3 linked regions of the Mus musculus genome follow. The protein of the gene in region 3 binds, or shares a complex with, the protein of the main gene of each other region. Links are inferred from orthologs where the notes say so. Each region holds a gene or a part of one and is shown on either strand. Other genes may lie near its edges.

Region 1 (5,165 bases), on a different chromosome or scaffold from region 3:
GGTAGTACATCTCAGCACTAGAGCACTTAGCATAAGGCCCTGGATTCCATCCCAGTACCACGTATAAGCAGGAGAAAGTAAATAAACAGTAGTACAGGAAACCTATGGTTGTGAACATAGTATCTCCCAGGAAACGATAAAAATAGGCAATTTGTTTAAGGGAGAAGTGTTAAAACAGTAATGCAGGTGGTAGTTAAATTGTAACGCTGAAATAGAAAGCCAGGGCTGCTGTGACTACTCTGGGGTGGGGGTGAGAAAACCACCAAGCCTCCACTAAGTGCAAACCTGGAAGAACGCAAAGAAGACACTGGGGGGGGGGGGGGGAATTGAGACCACCAGCGGGGATCCAGGCCAAGTGAGGGGAAAGGGCTGATGTGAGCTAGGTCCTGGAGACATATGTCGCTTCTCCTAGCTCCCCCCACCCCCCCAAAAAAGCTAAAAACATGGGGTGCCCACAGCCGATTGGGCCCACCAGGCCATTAAGCACTTGGAGGTTTGGGGTTGCCCTTCCCAGCAATCTCCTCTTGGCTTCCTCATTCCAAATATAAGAGTAATAAGAGCCCCCTAACCTGGGGGGTGGGGGTGGAGGGAGAGGGCGAAATTCCCTGCTAGCAAGGGGGGGGGGCAAGAATCGGGAAGGCCTTCCCCCCCCAAGCTTCCAAGCAGAGGAAGTACGTCAGTGCGTCCATCTCGCAGAGCATTTTGGGAATTGTAGTGAAATTGGAGGTGTACCGAGAAGCCAACTCTGTAACCCTTTAGAGACCAAATACGTGCACAGCTGGAGCAGAATTGGCAGGCTCAGAGAACGTTCTTTAGCAGATGAGGAAACTAAGGCAGCCGCCTGGCTCGGAAGCCTACAGTCTTATCATCCTGTAGCCTCTGGGCCGCCCTTGAGGCTAGTACCTAAGACACTGGGAAGGACAAACTGCCAAGTAGACACTACTCTCCAAGAGTTGCCTGAAACCATCCCCTTGAAACCGTCCAATCAGAGCCTCTCCGCCCCAATTCCCCCAAAGCTGCTGCCTTTCTAACCGGTTATTGGCCCTTCTTGAAGGGGCGGGATTCTAAGAGAGGGCAAGACTCTTCTAGAACTGCTCAGCAAATCAGAGCAGAAACTGCTTTCCGGCTTCTGGGTATGGTGTCGGGACTGTAAACCCACAAGGAGGCTGAAGCAGGGAGATTGCAGCAAGTTTGAGGCCAGCCTAGACTACATAGGCTAGCCTTCTAGGCCAACCTGAGCTAAAGAATAAATCTAAGTCTTAAGAAAGAAAGAGGGGGGGCTGGTGAGATGGCTCAGTGGGTAAGAGCACCCGACTGCTCTTCCGAAGGTCAGGAGTTCAAATCCCAGCAACCACATGGTGGCTCACAACCATCCGTAACGAGATCTGACTCCCTCTTCTGGAGTGTCTGAGGACAGCTGCAGTGTACTTACATATAATAAATAAATAAATAAATAAATCTAAAAAAAAAAAAAAAAGATTGTTTAAAAAAAAAAAAAAGAAAGAAAGAGGGGGCGGGGAAAGGGGGGAAATTGCATCCACAGCAACTTGGCCACCCGAGCATTTATGAAACCATTACCCACTCCATGGACCCTGTGTGCGAACCCCAGCTTCCTGGCGAGGCACAGTGAAAATTAAGCACCCAGACCAGCGCGCGCCCTCTTTTCCCGCCACTGCTTTCTACCCAGTCCCCTTTAAGAAGCAGCCCCGACGGGACTACATTTCCCAGAAGGCTTTGCCCGCGCGTTATGTAACTTTCCCTGCGAAGCGGCCTCTGGGGCAGAAGAAGGAGGTGGAGGCGACGGCGGCCGTTGCAGCGGCGTCGGCGGCGCGAGCGGAGCGGCGGGAGCCTGGGGCGGCGGCGCCCGAGGCCCATCGAGGAGCTGGAGCTGTGCATCGCGGCTCACGGCGCGGACCGGACGGGGGCGCCGACGTGCGTGCTCGTGGCTTGCCTTTTCCACCGGAGGCGGGAGTGAGAGAGAGAGGAAAAAAAAGGCTGAGGGCCCAGGGGGCGGGGAAGGGGGGCCGGGCCTGAATCCGGCGGGGAGGCCGAGCCCGAGGCCGGATTGAGCGGCTCGCGCGCCCGTCCCGGGGCACGGCGGAGCGAACGTGGGCGGCGGGTGCACAGCAGGGGCACCTGGCGGCGTTCCGGGGGGCGCCATGGCGTCCGTGCAAGCGTCCCGCCGCCAGTGGTGCTACCTGTGCGACCTGCCCAAGATGCCGTGGGCCATGGTGTGGGACTTCAGCGAGGCTGTGTGCCGCGGGTGCGTGAATTTCGAGGGCGCGGACCGCATCGAGCTGCTCATCGACGCCGCCCGCCAGCTCAAGCGCAGCCACGTGCTCCCCGAGGGCCGCTCGCCCGGACCCCCGGCTCTCAAGCACCCGACTTCCAAGGACCTAGCCTCCACGGGCTCCCAGGGCTCCCAGTTGCCACCCCCGCAGGCCCAGGCGCAGCCATCGGGGACCGGCGGTAGCGTCTCAGGCCCGGACCGCTATGACAGGGCTACTTCATCCAGCCGCCTGGCGCTGCCTTCGCCGGCTTTGGAGTACACCCTGGGGTCCCGCTTGGCCAACGGGCTGGGCCGCGAGGAGGCCGTGGCGGAAGGGGCACGCAGGGCTTTGCTTGGCTCCATCCCCAGCTTGATGCCCCCCGGGCTGCTGGCAGCTGCAGTGTCTGGCCTTGGAGGCCGAGCTCTGACGCTGGCACCTGGCTTAAGCCCCGCTCGTCCACTTTTCGGCTCCGATTTCGAGAAGGAGAAGCAGCAGAGGAATGCGGACTGCTTGGCAGAACTGAACGAGGCCATGCGGGGCCGGGCGGAGGAGTGGCATGGGCGTCCCAAGGCTGTAAGGGAACAGCTACTGGCTCTGTCCGCCTGTGCCCCTTTCAATGTTCGATTCAAGAAGGACCACGGGCTGGTGGGACGGGTGTTCGCCTTTGATGCCACTGCCCGCCCTCCGGGCTATGAGTTCGAGCTGAAGCTCTTCACCGAATACCCCTGTGGTTCTGGCAATGTTTACGCGGGGGTCCTTGCAGTGGCTCGCCAGATGTTTCATGATGCTCTTCGAGAGCCAGGGAAGGCCCTGGCCTCATCGGGCTTCAAGTACCTCGAGTATGAACGGCGCCATGGTTCAGGGGAATGGCGCCAGTTAGGAGAGCTGCTTACGGATGGGGTCCGCAGCTTCCGAGAGCCTGCTCCTGCGGAGGCCCTGCCCCAGCAGTACCCAGAACCGGCCCCTGCTGCTCTGTGTGGCCCACCTCCAAGAGCCCCATCCCGAAACCTGGCGCCCACTCCACGCCGTCGCAAAGCATCCCCTGAGCCCGAGGGCGAGACAGCTGGGAAGATGACCACGGAGGAGCAGCAACAGCGGCACTGGGTGGCGCCAGGCGGTCCATACTCTTCAGAGACCCCTGGTGTGCCCTCACCTATTGCTGCCCTCAAGAATGTGGCCGAGGCTCTGGGCCACTCACCCAAGGACCCTGGTGGGGGTGGAGGCTCTGTCCGCGCAGGGGGTGCTAGCCCCGCGGCTTCCTCCACAACCCAACCACCGGCCCAGCATCGTTTGGTGGCACGCAATGGAGAGGCAGAAGTCAGCCCCACTGCCGGGGCTGAAGCTGTCAGCGGGGGTGGTAGCGGCACAGGGGCGACCCCTGGAGCCCCCTTGTGCTGTACCCTGTGCAGAGAAAGGCTGGAAGACACCCACTTCGTGCAGTGTCCCTCGGTACCCGGACACAAGTTCTGCTTTCCTTGCTCCCGAGAGTTTATCAAGGCACAGGGCCCAGCCGGAGAGGTGTACTGCCCCAGTGGAGACAAATGTCCACTGGTGGGTTCCTCTGTCCCCTGGGCCTTCATGCAGGGCGAGATCGCTACTATTCTTGCTGGTGACATCAAGGTCAAGAAAGAAAGAGACCCCTAGGCTGCCACTGCCAGGCTTCTTTCCCCTCCCCCTTAACCATCACCGCATCTGCGGATAAATTATTCCCTACCGCACCCAACCCTGTACCACCCTAACCTATGTATATACCCTTTCCTCTGCCCAGATGGGTCCCCTGGGGTAGATACATTGTGGGTGGGGGGAGAGAGCTTGTGGCTCCTGTCAGAGAGGGTGTTTGGGGTTCCTGGGCCCCTCCTTTCTTTTTCCTTTCTTGGCTTGGCTTTCCTGCTGTTGGTAGTTGGGTGAGAGGTACCCCGCGTGTCCTTGAGAAGGGACCTCCTGAGAACTCGCTCTTTATAAACGAAGCAAAAGCATTTTATTGTTCCCCCTCTCCCACCCTTTTCCTCCTTCAATAAACTGAGAGATGGGTTGTTCTTTTTCCCCCTTCTTGTTCCCTTTAGTTTTTATGAGATGCTGCGCCCCCTTCGGGATTGGACTTGTCCTGCGCGCAAGAGGACTTCTGCGTTGTGACCACTAGGTGGTGCCTTTTGTCCAGTGGGCTGCTGTTTGTAGTAGTGTACATTTGCTGTGCTCTAATTAAAGGTGTAGTCGAGGCCGGTTTTGCAGACGATGGTACTGAGATTCTGACAGGGCTTGGCTCCTGCACGGCGATCACAAACTTGAGAGTAGGTTTGCACTACAGCTGGCCCTCTGAATGCAGAGACATCAGAGGAGGGAAAAGAAGTAGGAAGTGTTCTAGAGGTAGTTTACTTGGAGATATTTCTAGGGGCACTGTCCATGGAAAGAGTGAGTTGAACCTTCCTGGGTAAATGTATATGGGAGCAGGATGGTACCTTCTTGCTTCATATAGTGCCCAAGAGATGGACACACCTGAGAAACCTGAACTGGGCTCACGCCCTTCATCTGGGGACAGTGGCTATCACCCTAAAACACTTAGGAGCTAAGTAAAAGGCTCCCGCCCACCGCGGCTGCTTCTGATGTGTGTGCGGCCTTGTCCCGCACCTGTCCTGGGTGACTGATCATTAACCAGGATTTCCTGCCCGCTGGCGTCATGGGGGTGGGGTCTGGGGCCTAGGCAGACTATGGCAAAACAGGGGTTAAAAGGAGGGGGTGGCCCCAGCAGTCACATCCTGGCCCCCACTTGAGACCCTGACATGGAGATTCCGGGAAGGGATACAATGGTAAGCCAACGAGACAGTGTCCAGTGAGAACCAGCGACCCAAGGGTGTCCCTGATCTCCTCTCCAGGTGTCTCCTCACTGCCTTGTGCCCC
Region 2 (5,197 bases), about 4.6 Mb from region 3:
TGCAAATAACCTTTCAGCAGCACCTCTGACGACCAGTATTGCAAGAGCTGAACCGTTGACAAGATTCAAACCCCATTTTCCCTCCCTCGGAAAGGTGGGTGACATTTCCTGGGGGACGGGGAATGCCCTTGTGACAGGTGTCCCCCTTCCACTCACTTCCTTTCTCCTCCACCAACTGGCCTCCAGCCTGAGAGAGGCCAGCGAGGAGAAATGACAGACAGTAAGGCAATCTTACAATGTCAGAAAAAAATGTATTTGGCTTTTTTTCTTTTTTAAAATAAGTGCATACAAATACAGCTAGAAGCATTTGTTTGCCAAGTGCTCTTTAAAAACAAACAAACAAAAAAAAAACAAAAAACAAAATAAAACAAAAAAAAACAAAAGCAGCCAAGTCGCAGCCTACAAAGAACAGCAACTGTCACCCAAAGAGTCAAACACAGACAGCCTAACAACGTTAACAAAAGAAGAAAATGCCTTAAAGTACATACCTTTTGTCGTCAAAAAAAATATAGAAACACAATGTATTCAAAAAAAATCAAAATTATACAGCCATGTTATGAAGTCTACATTTCCCTTGTCTTGGATATATATATTTATATTTATATATATATATATATGTATGGAGATCTATATACAGTTCAACAAGTTTGAGTTAAGGGTAACCATGGGCTTTTCTGAACGCAGAAAGTCACGAGTCTCTCTCCTTCTTCACTTTCACATCTCCGGCGAGGATGGTAGCAATCTCTCCTTGCATGAAGGCCCAGGGGACATTGGAGCCCACCAGAGGACACTTCTCTCCACTTGGGCAATAGACCTCTCCGCTAGCGCCCTGCTGTTTAATGCTTTGTCTGGAGCAAGGGAAACAGAACTTGTGCGAAGGGACAGACGGGCACTGCACAAAGTGAGTATCCTCCAGCCGCTCGTGGCAGAGGGTGCAGCACAGGGGGGCGCTGGCTGCCAGAGAGGAGTCTGGGAGGCTGGCAGGGTGCACCGGCTCCAGTCCTCCGGTGCTGCCGGTGGCCTGGCCCCCCACCTCTCTGGGGCCAAGCCTTCTTTGGTTCATAGAGGAGGGAGAGGGCGGGCTGCTGCTGTTCCTCCTGGTGGTGGAGTGAACCTGGGTGGCATCTTTTGAGGCGTGACTGCCCCCGGCATTGTCTGCTACTAAAATCAGGGCTGCCATTGGGGACTGGCCATTCTGGGCCGCTTCAGGCGGTGTGGTCCGGTTGGAATGAGGAGAGGCAGTAGGGGGTGGTGGAGACACAAAAGAGGATGTAGGGGTGATGGGGATCTTGAGCCCTTCTGTGGAAGTGGACAGCCAAGGCTGTGTCTCACCATTGATCTTAGGGGGCCCGACTTCCCCTTCCGGTTCTGGGGAAGGCTTCCTTTTCCTTGCTGTCCTTGCAACTGGAAAGAGACAGGTATGGAAGAAAAGGAAGATTAACTTTAACGTACCCCCAAAGAGACAGCTCTCATCTTCAAAAACACACATAGTTCTGCACGCAGCTTCAAACATTTCCCCTAATAAAGGGCTCTGAGCCTGCACACCACCTCCAAGGTAAGCCAAGTCATGGGATCCTGCCTGAAAGGCTCCAACCCCAGACCAGCTCATGTGACTGCATTTAGCAGACAGGTTAAAGGGTGACTGCTGCCCTCACGCTTCCATCCAAGAATGTGCTGGGAAAGGAAAACCCCGTGTCGCTGCCTATCAACCCGTTCTGACTCATCCCTGTTGTGCTGGTTCAGCAGAGGGACCACGTTGCCACTAAGCTCTGGTTCAGCCCCGGGCCGACCAGGAAGTTGGCTGTTTGTTGTTTCTGGATTAAGGCAAAACTGTGCATGGAAGAATGGATCCCTACCACCCACCCACCCACCCACCCACCCACGCGCACACACGCACGCGCGCGCGCGCACACACACACACACACACACACACACACGGGTGGGCGGGCGCTCAAACGCTGCCTCTAACCCCACGCCCTCCATCCCTTCTCCCCTCGCCCCGCAGTCGCCCCTACCTGCTTTAGACCCGTTGGCCCCGTTGGCCTCGAAACCCAACAACCTGCCTGCTGCAGTCAGAGCCGGCTCCTTCTTGAACTTGCTCTCGAAGGGCCCCGAGTGGCCGTGCTGGTGCAGCGCCAGGAGCGTGTCCCGCACCGTCTTAGGCCTGCTGGCCCAGTCCTGCTCCCCGGGCGCGCGGCCTTTGCCTGCACCCTCGGCGCTCAGCTCGCTGGCCCCGGCCGCGCTGGATAAGCTGTCGGCCGGACTCCGGTGCGCGGGCTGCGCCTTCTCCTTGCTCGGCTCGCGCGCCTCGTGCTCCGCCGCCGCGCTCGACACAGACGCCGGGCGTTTGTGGGTGCCCAACTCGGCGGGCTGAGCTCCCAGGCCCGGTGTTCCGCTCACCGCGGCCAGTGTGGCCGCAGCACGGCCGCTCAACCCCAGCGCGGCAGAACCGTTGACCAGAGGCACCAGAGTGGGCGGAACGGCGTGTGCACGCCGAGGGTTCGGGCTCTGGCGATTCAGCTCCGGCGGCTCCTCCAGTTTGGAGAACCCGTTGGGCACCAGGATGCCGTTCGCCGGCGCGGACTGCTGCGCGGCCGACTGTGGGAGGCCTGCACCCGCACGCGTGCTGAAGTCGGAGGCCAGGCGCGGGGCACGATCCGGCGCCAGCGGGTAGCGCTCCATAGCCTGAGCGCGCGCGGCCTCGGCGCCCGCGTGGCCCAGCTGCGGCGGCGGCTGCAGCAGTAGGTCCTTGGCCGACAGTGGCGGTGGCTTGGCGGCTGCGGGCTGTGCACCGGTCGGGGAGCGGCCCTCCGGGAAGCAGCCGTGAGCACGCTTCAGCTGGCGGGCCGTCTCGATGACGAACTCCACGCGGTCGGCTCCCTCGTAGTTGACGCAGCCGCGGCACACGGGCTCCGTGAAGTCCCAGATCATGGCCCAGGGCATGCGGGGCAGGTCACACAGATAGCACGACTGGCGCCGAGAGGCGGCCGCCACCGCCACCGCCGCGGCCATGTCCGCACAGCCCGCCGCGCCGCAGGAGGAGCCGGGTGAGGGGACGCCGCCGCCCCCCGTGGATCCCGCGCGCGCGCGCCGGCCGGCCCAAGCCCGCGTCTGCGCGACTAGCGGCGGCGGCGGCCGCAGGCGAGGAGGCGGCGGCGGCAGAGCCCGGGCCGGCGCGGCGCCCGCGCGGCGCCCCCGGGGCACGAGGGGCGGCGGGCGCGCGGCGGGGCGCGCCTGCAGGTCCCCACGGGCGGCGGGGCGGCGCGGCGCGCGCGGGGGCGGCGGCTCGGCCGGGGCCGCGGGCTGGGGCCTCCAGACCGGGGCAAAGACGGGCCGCGAGCGCAGCAGGTCGCGCTGGCGCCCGGGGCGCAGAGCCGCGCGAGGTACGGGGGACGCGGGGCAGCCGCCGGGGCAGCTCAGCCCGAGCGGCGGGGCATGCCGCGCGCGGCGGCGTGCAGCTCGGTCCCGGGCCCCGGCGCGGCCGCTGCACAGCACCCACTGCGCCTCAGCTCCTGCGCCGCCGCTGTTGCTGCTGCTACCGCCGCGGCCGCTCCACTTCTACAGACTTGATTCTTCGACAGCTCTGCACGGCGCCTGCGCGGCCCCCTCCCTCCCTGGCGCGCGCGGCCCCGTGCGCCCGCCCTCCTTCCCTCCCTCCCTCCCTCTGCGCTCTCTCGCGCGCCACCCTGGATTCTTCCGTTTCTCGATCGCGTGCGCGCCGGGACTGAGGCGCAGACCAGTTCACGCGGCCCTAGCGCCGCAGGTGTGCAGCTCGCGTCCCCAAGAGTCCCGTGTCACCCCGCCTACCCAGCCAGGATGCTCCAACCCATGGCCCTGTTCTTTCGATTAAATCGTGCAAACTGTTTTATTTTACATGCAATGCCACTTTATCACTTGGTTACTGGCAGCCTCCTGAGCATGGAATTTGGAGCATAGCGAGGCGCACTTTGGACTTTTCCTTGTTAGCGTCTCACTTGGCTTCAGCTGGGCGCGCGCACGCTATCAACACTCTGCCCTGTTTTGGTCGAGGAAGCAACTACACACTGCCGCTGCCCCTTTAAGTTTTACAAAAACTTAGTGCTCAGGCAGGCCCGGCCTCTTTTGCGCGTGCACTGAAAGGAGGACGCACAGGCCCGAGGCTCCTCAGGCGCCGCCGCCCAGCGTCTTATGTAGGTCTGTGCAGCGAGCGCGTGACGTGGGCAAGGGACGCTGCCACTGCGCAAACTCCACATAAGACGTGCCCAGCGCCGCGGGCCCTGGGGCCGCGCCGAGCTAGTGCACATTCCAGGGATCTGGGCTCTGCAGCGCACCGCGTCACGGCTCAGGACCCGCCCCCGGTCTCTGGCTAGTAGGCCCTGCCCCACCGCCTCCGCGGGGCCGAACTTCGAGTGGCCAACTCTGGGCGCGCGCTGTCCCCTTTGCGCCTAGGGCGTGCGCTGGCGGGTGGACTTGGCTGTCTGTTGTACCATCCGGCTTAGCCCAGTGGGCACAGACGCGCCTGGCAGCATCGCTTCGTTGTTCCCTTCCACGCTGGGCAGTGAGGGCTGCCCAGAGTGGACGGAACACCGAATTGTACACTTTGGTAGGGAGCAGGGACTGGTGTGTGCTGTCAGTGGTCGGTCAGTCAGGCTCTGATTTGAGACCTACTACTCTGAGTAAGAGCCGCTTTTGCTTTTGTGGTGAACAACGCAGGTCCACCTCTCTCCCCAAGATTGGAATGGGCTGGTTAAGTGTGGGAAGAGCAGGGTACTAAGTACATTAGCTTTCCTACAACTGGATTGGAAGGTGGAAAGGGAGGGGGGAAAAATCTGCTGACCTTTTTTTCTCCGGTGGCTGCTATTGAAAAATGCCAGGTTGCTTCAAAGAATAGCCACAAGAGGAAACACGCCCCACAGAGAAGCAGCCCAGAGAGCTGTTTAGAGCACAAGAATAAACCTGTTGGAGGTGGCACAGAAAGCTTAGCGCCAGATGCCAAGGGCGTCCACAGGCTAACCTTGAACGTCTCTCTCGGGGCTTTCCAGAGAAGGTACATCTGTGTCAAGGGCCTCCCCAGCTCCCCTTCCAGTCACAAGCCTGCCTCACCCTCTCCAAGCCTGGAATGGGGCCTACCCGGATCCATTCCCAGAAGCAGCTGGTGCCAGCTGGTTTGGGCACCTGCTCCAGGACCTGTCAGTCTGGTCACTCTCTTCCAAGACCC
Region 3 (5,257 bases):
TGAATTCATCTAGAACCTGGGCTTGGACCCTCCGTTTCCCCTGAGCCCCTCACCTCGAGCAGTACTAGTCAGAATTCTAGTCATCACCCCTCCCCACCTGCATCTGACGTGTTCTCGTGAATACACTGCATGTCTAGCAGAAAGCTGATGTTCTTAGTCTATCTCCTGGGGTATTTGATATCAGTGTCTCTATTGACCACATAGCCTCAATCCAACAAACACTACAGTATCTGCTGGGCTTTTTCCAGAAACTGCACGTTTTTCCTGCCAAAACTTATAAACACTGGATACTTTGGGATAACGAAAATAGCAGACTGGAGGAGATATGACAACTAGAGTATGGAGTCTTGAATTACATCCTGAAACAAAACAAACAAAAGATGTCAGTGGGACATTGAAACGTGTGTATGGTCTTTATAATCTAGGTAACCTTCCTGTTAGCCAAGAGAGAAAATGAAGGGGAAGAGGAAGCTCATTCAGTTTCTCTGAAATTCTTAACCACAGACTAACTCTGCAGGTGGACCTCAGAATGCTCATGAAGTGTGGGTTGCTGTGGACTCTGCTGCAAGGCCCTGGGCAAGGGTGCCAGCCCAAAACAGCGCCTCGCTATCCCTGTGCTATGGGCGCGGCAAACACTGCACTGCGCACCTCGGGATCAATGAACCATGCATAATATGCTAGCTACTTGCACTAGCCCAGCAACAAAGTGAAGAGGCTAAACTCAGAGCTCACCAGACAAGTCAAATCAAGTGCCTAATCTCAGTGTGGGACCAGTCCTCTGCATCCTAATCTCAGTGTGGGACCAGTCCTCTGCATCCCGGTACCCTACCAAAGGACCACCCAGTCAACTGGAGGCAGCCAGACACCATGTTCTGGCACACATCCGTCACAAAGAGCAAAAAATGGAAGGAGACAAATTGTCTGAATGAAGACAACAGGCTTTGAAATTCCTGTTCAAGATGAGTGGCCTTGTAAACAATCTCCACTTACCCCACTAAAATACTTACTACAGTACAATCAGCTCACAAGAAAATAGAGCACAGCCAAAGACTTAAACTTCTGACAGAGGATCTAGATAGCTTGCAGGACACAGGAGTGGGGCTCCAGGCCCCACCTGGCCCTCAGCAGTCTCCACAGCCACCCCTGACAAGCAAAACAGCTTCCAAGCAAAGGGAGACAGACCCTGGAAGATGCATAAACAGCCCAGATATAAGGTGTCTGTTATGTGGTCCTCCAAGTCTTGAGGTAACAACCTCTCCCAGACACTAGTGGGGAAAACCATTTTTAAACCCCTCTCCACAGACCCAGGGCCCCCTGCCAGTTTCCTCTTACCTTAAAGTCTAAGGTTTAAGCAATAATAATTAGCACTATTGGAGGACCTGCCATCCAAAGCAAGAAGCTAACATTTACCACCCACCCCCCAAAAGTGATAAACAAGAAGTCAGATAAGAGAACTGAAAAGAACCCCTAATAGTTTTCTCAGCCTGAAAGAGAAAACATATTCATGAAACAAACTACTGAACAAAAGGAAAAGAACAAATACATTCAGAAATTTTTTTTTGTTTGTTTCGTTTTTCAAGACAAGGTTTCTCTGTGTAGTTCTGGCTGTCCTAGAACTCACTCTGTAGAGCAGGATGGTGTCAGACTTAAGAGATCCGCCTGCCTCTGCCTCCCAAGTGCTGGGGCTAGAGGTGTGTACCTCTCTATGCCCTGCTCAGAAACTACAATTCTGATGGTGGATTCGCCGGCCCCCTCCCCGAGATAGGGGAGGTTGCCTATGTAAACACTATGTAAACGAGGTTGCCTCAAACTGGCAAAGATCCACCTGCCTCTGTCTCCTAAGTGCTTGGAATTAAAAGTCCTGCGCCACTGGGGTGAAAGATAAACTGAAGTTCTTTCCTGGAATGAAAATCAAAAAGGAATAGAAAGATAAAGAAACTCAAGTAGTGTGCCCAAATGGGGCGGGGGTGGGGGGGAGGGCGACAAACTCTCTAACGACTTTAAGAAAGGCTCTTGGGACAATCTCCCAGCGCTCGAGGACACGCCTACCGAGCATACCTGCGAAGGGCAGACCTGTTCCAATGCCAAGAAGACCTTAGGCCGGTCCAGGGAGGAAACAGTTACCAGAAAGGAAGTCCTTGGCAGAGGCTCCCTGGGGACTCAAGAAGAAAGCTGACTGAAACACTGCGTCCTGAGCTGACCAGGCGTGCAGCGAAAGAAAGACCTCGGGACCTACCTGCACCCGCCTAAAGCGTCCCCAACCCAGATTAGAAGAAAGGCAGAGAGGAGGTAGAGGGAAGCCGGAGGTTCCACACTATCTCCGAGAAGTTACAATGTCACCAGGAGCAGAGAAACAAAGGCCACCACAAGTAACAAGGAAAAAAAAGAGCCAGGCTGTGCGGGACGGGGACGTGACGCTAGGTGGGGAAGCGAGCACCAGTCTCGGCCCCGATGTCAACAGAGAGCAGAGCAGAGGCGGGCGGACGCGCCAACCAGGGCGAAGTCACCCGGTTACCGGGGCATAGCGCCAACAACGGCCGGGAGATGGGGCCACCTAGGCGGCGGGGCGGCGCGCGGGGCCCGGGCGCAGCGCGCGAGGCTCAGTCCTGAGAGACTTGGGCGGCCGAGCCAGGGCCACAGCGCCCGCGCGCCGAGCCCGTGACAGGAGCGCCGGGCGCGGGCCCGGGAGGCGCCGAGGCCCCGGAGCCGAACGCACGCGAGCACGGCCGCCGGGCCTCGGCCGCTCGCCCGCTCGCTCGCTCGCTTCCCGGGTCCCGCAGCCCCGGCGGGTGGAGGCGCGGAGGCGACGCGCGGACATCCCGCGGCCCGCCGGCCCCCGCCCAGCCCGGCGTGCGGCCCCGTGGCCGTTGGCGACGGTTGGCGGCGGGGCGGGGCGGGGGCGGCCGGAGATCTCGCTCTCGCTCTCGCTCTCGCCCCGCGGGAAGGGGGAGTGGAGGCGCGACCGGCTGCGGGAGCTGCAATTACCGTGTGGGCTGCGGAATTCTCGTGGTGTTTGTCGGGGAGCTGCGATAATGGCGTCCGTCCTCGCGAGAGAAGCAGCCGCTCTGCGCAGGCGCCGCGAGCGCCTCCCCACGGCCTGCGCCCCGCCCTCAGCGCAGGCTCCCTGGGCTCCCGGCTCAAGGGCGGGGCCGGTCGGGAAGGGGGCGGGGCCTGCTCTGGGCGCCTCTGGCGCGCGCTTTCGCCGACGGACTCCAACGAGCATGCGCAGTTGTCCTCCCCTGCTCCGAGAGTTGACTCGCTGGGCCCTTACTTCCCCATCTCACGTCCATGTTACTTGCTAAAGCAGTAAATCCTCCAGTGTTCAATCTGAGGAATGTACGTCCTCTTTGATGGGTGTGAACACACTAACGCTGCCCTGACGACTACAAATCCCAGTGTGCGCTGTGTGTGGCACGATGCGTCCTGGGACTGGTAGTCTCTGCGGCCATGATTTGCCTGCTGGGATTTGTAGTCCATCCGGATTCTGGCTGCCCCATGCCTTCCCTGCCCTGAGGGCTGCTGGGACTTGTAGTGTCAGCGGCTCAAATGGGCTGTACGCTCCCAAACCCGTCCTACCTACTCTACCTGGCATCGGTCTCAGACGTTCCGGGCTCGTTCAGTGGCATTGTCTGGAAAGTTGCCTGACTTCCTTATGGACAAGCTGGTCGTGGGGACACTGTCACTGTGATAGAGATTATATGTGACATGCTTACGTATCATGCAATAGGAGCTATGCAGCATCGATGTGCATTTGTTGCCAGAAATGCCACTAATGGTTCTCTGCACCTGGTCTGTCGTCAGTGTTCCTTTCCAGGCTGTCCCCTTCTGCATGTTCGCAGTGAGCAATCCTACAAACCGGGATTACAGGAGTTATTTTCACTTAGAAAACTAAACAAAACAAAAACCTGTTTCCTGCCCGTTCCCCTGTGCCGATAATAAAGCCATGACTCAGTGCAGCTACCAGCTGGGCAACCTTGGGACAGCCCTTCTAAACCACTGTGCTCTGTCTGGGGTTTGATCCTGTGCCACTTTACCTCAGGATTGTCTTGAAGATTTCAACCTAGAACTGTGCTGTTAAAATGAGACCTGCTGGGCAGTGGTGGCGCACACCTTTAATCCCAGCACTTGGAAGGTAAAGGCAGCCAGATTTCTGAGTTCGAGCCAGCCCAATCTACAGAGTGAGTTCCAGGACAGCCAGAGTTATACAGAGAAGCCCTGTCTCATTTGGGGAAAAAAAAAAAAAAAAAAAAAAAAGCACTGACTGCTCTTCCAGAGGTCCTGAGTTCAAACCCCAGGAACTACATGATGGCTCACAACCATCTGTAATGGGAACCCAATGCCCTCTTCTGGTGTGTCTGAAGACAGTGACAGTGTACCCACATACATGAAATAAATAAATAAATCTTTAAAATAAAAAGAAAGAAAGCTAAGCCCAGAGGAACTACGAGGAACTTGGCCAGAAACTCTTAGAGAGTTGTACTATCTCCTCCCACCGCCCCTCAATTGGGCCCAGATTTTAAAACTGTAGTTGTGAGAGTTCTGAACATGAATGCCTGACCGCACGGAAAAACAGAGTAATGGTGACGTCATCCCCAGCATGTCACCCTAACATCCCCCTTAACCTCCCTTTCACCCCTGGCGTTGCCGTCTCCTCCATCCCAGGACTTCAAATGTATTTAGTGCAACCATCAAGCAGATGAGTGGATGGTGGGGAAAGGGTGGGTTGGCACCAGTAGGCAGCAATGAAGGGCTGAATGAGAGTCCGAGTGCTAATACAGTTTAGATCTCAACCAGAGAGTACACTAATCAGAGCCAGAGTTCAGAACCGGGAGGCTGATGTGTGCGCATGCGTGCAACATGCATGTCCCTCGGCAGCTGCCCACCTTGAATTTTAAACCACAGTCTCTCAATGGGACCTGCAGCTTGCAGGGTAGGTGAGACTGACTGTCCAGTGAGCCCCAGTGATCCACTTGTCTCCGCTTCCCCAGCTCTGGGATCACAAGCCCACCCCACCACGGGTGGCACCATTGATTTGTGCCTTCTGGGGCTCAACTTTAGTTCCGCGTGCCTACAGGACATGCACTTTGCCAAGCCTGCCATTTCCCAACCCTCTTTGTTTTGATGCCCTGGATTGTTAAAGCTATGTTCATTTACTCTGTGTGCATGCTGTGGGGGTTGTTGGAGTACCGTGGCACCCCGTGGACATGACAGAGAGTCAGTTCTCACCTTCCACCACCCGGGTCCCATGGGTCAAACC

Evidence for each region.
Region 1: Banp (region 3) and Irf2bp1 share a complex: the UniProt entries of both Homo sapiens proteins name them as parts of the corepressor complex. The link is inferred for Mus musculus from reciprocal best matches to the Homo sapiens genes BANP and IRF2BP1.
Region 2: Banp (region 3) and Irf2bp2 share a complex: the UniProt entries of both Homo sapiens proteins name them as parts of the corepressor complex. The link is inferred for Mus musculus from reciprocal best matches to the Homo sapiens genes BANP and IRF2BP2.

What each region holds. Positions count from the first base shown.
Region 1 is NC_000073.6:19,002,278-19,007,442, forward strand, and holds Irf2bp1 (interferon regulatory factor 2-binding protein 1), read left to right. Parts: upstream 1-1,780; 5' UTR 1,781-2,159; coding exon 2,160-3,914; 3' UTR 3,915-4,486; downstream 4,487-5,165. UniProt on the Homo sapiens protein: Acts as a transcriptional corepressor in a IRF2-dependent manner; this repression is not mediated by histone deacetylase activities. May act as an E3 ligase towards JDP2, enhancing its polyubiquitination. Represses ATF2-dependent transcriptional activation.
Region 2 is NC_000074.6:126,590,425-126,595,621, forward strand, and holds the start of Irf2bp2 (interferon regulatory factor 2-binding protein 2), read right to left. Parts: upstream 3,563-5,197; 5' UTR 3,013-3,562; coding exon 2,016-3,012; intron 1,405-2,015; coding exon 689-1,404; 3' UTR 1-688. UniProt on the Homo sapiens protein: Acts as a transcriptional corepressor in a IRF2-dependent manner; this repression is not mediated by histone deacetylase activities. Represses the NFAT1-dependent transactivation of NFAT-responsive promoters.
Region 3 is NC_000074.6:121,948,377-121,953,633, reverse strand, and holds the start of Banp (protein BANP), read right to left. Parts: upstream 3,143-5,257; 5' UTR 2,986-3,142; intron 1-2,985. UniProt on the Homo sapiens protein: Controls V(D)J recombination during T-cell development by repressing T-cell receptor (TCR) beta enhancer function. Binds to scaffold/matrix attachment region beta (S/MARbeta), an ATC-rich DNA sequence located upstream of the TCR beta enhancer.